Coturnix japonica: one gene and its partner. Each later gene encodes a partner of the first gene's protein in a complex. Links are inferred from orthologs where the notes say so. Each region holds a gene or a part of one and is shown on either strand. Other genes may lie near its edges.

What was found.
Region 2: BICD2 (region 1) and BICDL1 share a complex: the UniProt entries of both Homo sapiens proteins name them as parts of the tripartite complex. The link is inferred for Coturnix japonica from reciprocal best matches to the Homo sapiens genes BICD2 and BICDL1.

The regions. Positions count from the first base shown.
Region 1 is NC_029527.1:4,839,602-4,843,412, forward strand, and holds part of BICD2 (protein bicaudal D homolog 2), read right to left. Parts: intron 833-3,811; coding exon 526-832; 3' UTR 1-525. UniProt on the Homo sapiens protein: Acts as an adapter protein linking the dynein motor complex to various cargos and converts dynein from a non-processive to a highly processive motor in the presence of dynactin.
Region 2 is NC_029530.1:8,432,727-8,436,545, reverse strand, and holds part of BICDL1 (BICD family-like cargo adapter 1), read left to right. Parts: intron 1-317; coding exon 318-448; intron 449-2,980; coding exon 2,981-3,101; intron 3,102-3,819. UniProt on the Homo sapiens protein: Acts as an adapter protein linking the dynein motor complex to various cargos and converts dynein from a non-processive to a highly processive motor in the presence of dynactin.

The DNA of each region.
Region 1 (3,811 bases):
ATATAACTGCAAGTTCTTCATATCTGCCATAACAGGCAAATTATTTAATTTTGGTTCCAGTTTCAAAATGGTCTCTGTTTTCAAGACACAACTCTCATCTAACACTTGCTTTTCACCACTTCTAGCCACAGCAGCAGGGGAGGTTTTCTGTTCGTTTCTGTCTGTGAAAGCATTTATTAAAGTATGCTGCAACCCTGGAGAAAGGATCACATTTGTGCTATACAAACTACGGTTAGTAACACCAGATAGAATATATCAGGTGTACTCTTAACACTTACCATAAACAGCAAAACCCACACACGTTAATTGTGGAAAAAGCTACTTCCTTTCCACCATTAACTCGTTAATACCATCCCCGTACTTATGAATTAGTTACAGTTAAGACCACCATAATACAACTTGTATTACCTGGTTTAACAACTTACTAGTACAAGTCAACTCACCGCGACATTAGATAGTGGGGATTTACGCTGACAATTACAGCATAAAATAAGATGCATAATATGGTTTTTCTACACACCTCTCCTAGTCACAATAGATTTTATATTTTTCGCTACAAAACACCTGGTTATTAAGGACAGGTCCTTCGGGCCTGTCTCCACAAGAGCGAATATGACTTACAGTAGGGTTACTGCTCTTGGCTTTGGAAGCAGATTTTGTGCGCACCCTTTTGGACTGCTCATGGTCCAGCTCCAAGTGCTCCAGGCGCTGTGTCAGTGCCAGTTTCTGCTGGATTGCCATCCGAAGCAACGAGTTTAGAGTCTTCTTCTCATCTTCAGCTGCTGCGAGCTGCCGCTGCATTTCATCCAGCTGTGTGACATATTCGTCACATCTGCAATGAAATATATCAATCTTTAGCAATCTTGTTTCCATCTATAAAACATGAATCCCTCTTGCCTGGCAGATATCAGGGCATCCTCATAGTTTTGTGGTTGCTCGCATACAGCCTTAAATAGGAACTTCAGTCAATACAACTACTTTCAGTGGGGTTCTTATAGTCCCATACTCAGCATTTACATTCATGCCTTTCAGTGCAGCACGACTATGGGTGCCTCTGTATAACTGAAGTATGGAGCCTGATGTATAAGGGTAGGACATCCTGCAGCCCCTCTGCCCAACAGTGCACAGACATAATGCAGTCAATTTACTTTTGTCTCCACTTACACAGAGACCGCATCCATTCTAACTTTCGGGTAGCAAAGGGAGTCAGAGGGGAGCAGGAGGAGTGCTGTAATATGGCCATTAGCGCAGCGGCTATTAATGCTCTTCAAAGAGCCCCTGTGCTTCACAGGCTGTTTAGTCACCCACAGAGTACAGGAACCCATTCCCAGAGGTGACTGAACAACACTGTTATTAAGATACATCTTTAATAATTTTAGTTTAACCTACTCTGTGTCTCCTGATGGAAGAAGAAAAAAAACAACCCTATAATGAGTGTTTTATTACTGCTTTTTCTACAGCAAGTTGCTTTTATACGATAGTTTTCACCACCAAAATTAATTTTGACCCAATTAAACAACACAACTGGGTGTTACAAGAACCCCTCAGGGGAGGCCATACAGATGCCTGTTGGAAGCTACATGGCTCGCATGGTGCACCGTGAGCAATTTGAAAATGTCTGTCTTTATGTGTATATAGATAAACATTTACTGCACACAGAAGAACTACAAACATGGGTAGAAAGAGAACAATCACAGGGAATGGCTGGAATCTATAATGGCCACATCTGTAAAACACAACTGCTTCATAAAAGCAACAAGATCTGCAAAGAAGTTCCTCCCAGCACCAAAATGGAAAAGTCCCTGAGGCTACAGGACATTCACCATCATTAAACAGCATAAAGGAGACTGGAGGGAAAAAAAACACCCACACTGAACAAAACCACATTCACATGCAGATTTGTCAGCTGTGCTTATACAATGAACTTCCCCACTCTGTTCTCCCCGACTTCAAGCAGCAGGATTAGGCCTTATTCTTAACCAATTATTATTATTTTTTTCTTGGGAAGAGAACAAAGGAAAGGAAAAAACACGGATTTTATTTTGGAATACATATGGACATCATACAGTAACCCAGAAACATGTATGTGAAATCTGCATACTGCAAATGTAGCTTAGCCTAATAGAAGGATTTGAGTTTAGGGCTGCTGCGTGCAGGAACCTCCACATAAATCTCTGCATGCTGCTGAACCACAGTGGAAATCCTCAGAGAGTTCATGGTGAGCTCAGCAAAAACAGAACAACAAAACAACCAAGCTTAGGAACCCTAAATGTGCTACAATCCTATTGCTTGCTGCTTTCAGATTTAGAGGGACGTCACAAGGCAAAACAAGTCCATGCACCTCTGTGAGTGCAAGCAGAGAGGAAGACAGGTAGGAATAGCCCTGGGAAGCCTGAGAAGAAATAAGTCTTGCAGCCATACCAGTCCTCCTTGCTCTCTTATGGAAGGTGGCACCTGGTACCAGCTTCATATGAGAACCAGGCTGCAAGAACGCACAGCTCGTAACATCTCTGCTCACCCTGTGCCCTGTTGCTTTAGTTTGTTAGAAATGCATTTTCTTCATCTGCGGGCTGGAACAAGGCACAGACTAAAGACAGAGGGCTGAGGGCTGCTGGGTTTCCCTCCGGTTTTTAAATGCTCTTGTGACATTCGAGGTGAAAAGTGCTAAGCCTAGTCATTTGTGCCAAACCTGATAGCATGGACAAGCACTTGCCATAGTCCAGGAGCCACAAAGTAGTTTGTATGTGAGCTGAGCTATAATTAAAGCCCTGAATTTGACTCCCAAAGGTTACTGTAGCAAGTCAGTACATCAACACATTTTCTGTATGTAGCGCAAAGGTTCAAAATATCCAGTGATTGCCTTGAAAAATGAAGCATTCAATACATCAAATGCCCCCATCACCTTTCTCCATATAACCCTACGAAGGCAGCTTTTCCTTCCTGCTCAACAAAAGGGAGTGTTATCAATAGCATACAAACAGCTGCAATTTTCACTAAACTTGAATTCTTCTGTGTGCGAGAGGACACGGGAGAGGCAGGAACTCTACTATGGCTGCACACCGCTGTGCAGCCTGAATCTGTTTCCCTGATCTTTAACTAAGATGAAATGATACAGCATCAAAAACAAACCTTACCCTGGTACAAGCGTGGCTGCCCTCAGTCAGGGGAGCAATACGTAACATAAAACACTGCAACAGTTGCTTTGAATCAAATAAATGAGGACTGAGACGTGGATGGGAGAGCAGGCGCAGTGTGTGCAGGTGGATCTGCCCTTCTTCCCATCCTACTGCTCACTCACTTCCCATTTCATTTCCTCACACAAGTTGCTTCCCCAGGCATTGCAGCCCAACACAGCCCGCAGAGCTGCTCTGCTCAGTGCAGAGCTACCAGTGGTAGCAGCAGCCCATACAGTGTGCTTTTGTGGTACATCTAGCTGTATTTCTGCTGCTTTGCACATAGAACAATAAAATAACCTTCCTTTCCACAGCCTCATTTGCCACGTGCTCAGCTACTTCCCAGCTGTATTATTCTCAATGCAAAATCATCAGAAGATCAAAACACAAAGCACCTTTGTTTTAAAAACGCTTTTGAAAACAGAATCGAGCTCTCGTGCTTCAAAGAATATGAAATCAGCATAAGGCTGTTGTGCGATCACACATCCATGTTTCTAAGTGGATGCTGAACAGAACCTTTTGACGTTGCCTATTTTCTTGGGGTTGGTAACAAACAACAACAGAACGAAGACTTTAAGGAAACACTCGCTTGATTCTAAAAACAACCAACTACAAAAACAAATACCTACACAGTGGAA
Region 2 (3,819 bases), on another chromosome or scaffold:
TCTCAGACCGTTTGAGGCTCTGCACACATTTTGAAGTCTAATTAAAATTGTAAGACGTGCCAGTAACACCTTCCATGGTGCGAAAGGGAACTTGCACATCCCCTGTCCTCAGCTTCACACTGCTTCAGAAGACACAATGATGTAACTGTTCCCCCTCCTAAACAAATATACCAGGAAAAACAATCCCTCTTGTTGCTAGATGATACTTGTAGCTTCTACAGTCACGGCACCTCAGTCTCTAGTTGCCCCCTGGCTTGTTTTGCACCCCCCTTGCACTGTGCTCACCCTGGGTGTTCCACTCTCCCCCATGAGTGCAGGTCACACTGCTGAGCGTGGAGATGACAACACTGAAGGAGGAGCGGGACCGGCTGCGGGGCGCTGCAGAAGACAAGGAGACGAGCGAACGGCTCCTGCAGGCCATCCGGGATCGGGACGAGGCCATCGCCAAGTGAGTGGGGACACAGCCTGAGCCAGGCTGGGCTAGGGGTACAGGAGCATGTTGCCTCCAGGGTGGCCAGTCTGAGCCCTGCTGCTGATGGGAAATGCTGGAGGAGCTCAGGAGCTCTTAGGAGCTACCCCAGGGCAGGACCAGGGGCCTTCCAGGGGATGCTGTGAGCCCTGATTTTGCCATCATGGTGCTGGTGAGTGGCACTAGAAGGCTTTAGGGAAACAAATGCAACCCCTAGCTCTGCCCTATTCCTTTTTCTTCTTTTGCTCTTCCAGACTTGCTTCCCTGCCCATCTCTATTGCAGCCTTTCCTGGACCTCATCTCTAAAACATTCCTCTGCTCACTCTCTCTCCATTCCTGTTCCAGGGTCTTTTTTGCATCTCCACTCCCATAATTCTCTTTTTCTCTGGTCAGAACTCTCCCACTGTTTTGAATCTTTATTTTTCCCCATCTTCCCCCTCACAGCCCTCTGCCATTTTGCTGCCCCATATCCTGTACCTCCTCCATTGGCTCTGCACCTTGCTGAGCTGCCCTGCAATGCTGCAGAACAGTGCAACCCTCAGTAATTTCCCTCACGAAGAACAGGCAGAACAATTCATCCCCCGTCCTCTAGGTAGAAGGGATAGGCCTGATAATCTCTTCCATATGAGGTGGCCAGAACACCACCAGTATATCCCCTTACAGACACATCTAATACTCAGGTGCTTGTGGGAATAGGAGGTGAGAGCATTGCAGCTCCGAGGATGCAGGGAGCTAAATCTCCATGCAGAGACCCTGCATCTTTTCTTAAATGAACTGGCTCACCCATGCTGCTCTTGCCCAGATATCCAGCTTCCAAATTCCCATTACTGCCCTCTGTTACACCTCCATCTGTTGGCATAAAGCAGGAGCATCCCAGCTGCACAGCCGGGTGCAGGGACGTCGTTCTGACATTTCCTGTGCGTGTGGGCTGCTGGCTCTTGCTGTGGCTATGGCAACATGCAGTAAATCCCACTGTAATATCCACAAGCAGCAGTGAGGAGCTTCAGAGCAAAAGGCTATTTCAGGTGCTCAGACCCACAACCAGGAGCAGAAGGGTACGGCTTCTCCACAGTGCTTAATGACCCTATAAAGCCCAGAGGGAGGGGACGTGACAAGTGTGCACGGATGAGTGGTGGGTGATTAATGAGCAGTAGCTGCAAGTGAAAGGAGACAGCATATAGATGCTAGAAATGAAAGCATTCCCTTGCAGACAGAGGGGATGCTGCACAGCAGTGAGCTGCCCACCAGGCATGCACTGCTCTGCCCACCTGCACCTTAAGGGTTAAATCACGGCTGTGGAAGTGCTTCCCCCCAAAAAAAGCAACCAACCAACCCAACACTGCACGCAAATAAAATCACCGCCTGCAGCAGACATCTGGCATGGAAAACATTGAGCTCAAAGCTGAAGATTGGCAAACATGGGAAGCAATAGGAAAAGAGAGTTCCAGAATAGGAAGCGTTCAGCAATCGCTACCTGGGATATAAACACAGATACCCACATTGCTCTTCTGCAGGGGAGTGTGAGGGAGCTGTTAGGAAGTGATGGGTTAGAGATAGTTCACAAAATGCAGTGATTCTTCCCCAAAATATTTTCAAGGAAAAATGGTTCCCAGCAAGTCACATTATGGTTTCCCATCGCACAGCAGTTAATCAGTAACTCCAGGTTTGTGGCCAGGTCCTTTGCTCAGCCCAAGCACCATCTCTAGAAACTGAGAGCAGAGTTGTACTTCTTGCAGGGTTATTTTTCCATATTGAAACTTGCTGCTCAGCTGAGCACAGGGAGGGTCTTTGTTTTTTAGAGCATTCTATTTCATTTCCCATACATCAGCAAACAGAAGAAATGCAAACATGTAACTCATTTTAGTCCTCCATTTTTGATGGTGGGTCCTGCATGTTGTTCAGATATACAATATGATTCTGTAGAGCAGCATGATTGAATATCTGTTCCTATTTTTCATGGTGTTGTTACCTAAAATCTGCTCATCTTATGGTAAGGATGTCTGCAGTTCTGGCCCACTCTTCTGATAAATAAACACAATACAATGTCACAACAATAAATAGACACAATTCTGATAAGTAGACCAGAATACAATGGAAAGCTGCTTAGGATTTAGGGACTTGCCAATTAAATAGAATCACAGAATGGTCTGAGTCAGAAGGGACCTTTAAAGGGCATCTGGTCCAACTCCCCCACTGTGCACAGGGACACCCACAGCTCCATTAGTGCTCACAGCCCCATTCCCTGATACTGGGTGTCTGTAGGGATGGGGCACCACCGCCTCCCTGGGCACCTCACTGTAAGCAACTTCTTCCTTATACACAATCTAAACCTCTCCTTTCCATTTGGAACCATTTTCCTTTGTCCTACCACACAGACCCTGCTGTCCCCTTCTTTCTTTTGACACCCCTTCTAGACCAAAATAAATAACCTGTTGACTTCCGAGGGGTACGTTCAATATTTCCTTAAAACAATAATAAAGTGAAAAGTCCCATTTCTTGCTCTCCCCCCAGGAAGAACGCTGTGGAGGTGGAGCTGGCCAAGTGCAAGATTGACATGATGTCCCTCAACAGCCAGTTGCTGGATGCCATCCAGCAGAAGGTGAACCTCTCGCAGCAGCTGGAGGCCTGGCAGGTGAGCAGTGCCCACTGCAGCAGGGCAGGGTTTGAGGGCATTCAGAGTACACAGCAGAGGAACCCACCTGGGTCTCCACGTTGAGGATGCCCCCTGGGCAGCCTCAGCATCGAGATACGCAGATGCAGCACATCTGTTCCTATAGCCGAGCAGAAGGTGGGAGGTGGGGAGGTTGTGGTCATTGCTCTACTGCATAGCACTGTTTTTTGTCAACGCGGAAGATGCGGCACGATGGAAAAGCTAAAATGAGAGCTTTCAATCAAGGTAAAATGAATAAATACATAAATAATGGAATCCCAAACCCACAGCAGGTGAGGGCAGATGCCCCAGAGATGTTCTTAGGGTCAGTGGGACAGACCCGTGCCAAGCAGAGAGCCTGGATGGCAGACAAAGCTGAGTCCTCTGAGAAACTGGCACTGAGGGAGCATGACTATTAGAAAATGAGCAGATACAAGAGAAAAGGTCCGGGTCAGTTACAGGAAATTGGTGCAGACCCTGCAAGACCCCAACTCTACTACCATCCAACCTGACCGGTAGAAACCTCTCCCATACAACCTCACTCCTGTTTCAACTCCACCGTGTTTTCGTTTCTTTTTTCTTCTTCTCTTTCTCCTGCTTACAGTTTGCTTCCTCAGGGCTTTTTACTATCTGGCTCCTTTGGTTTCTGATCTAGTGGCCTTTCTCAGTTCCTGTACCAACAGCTTTAGTCGTACACCCC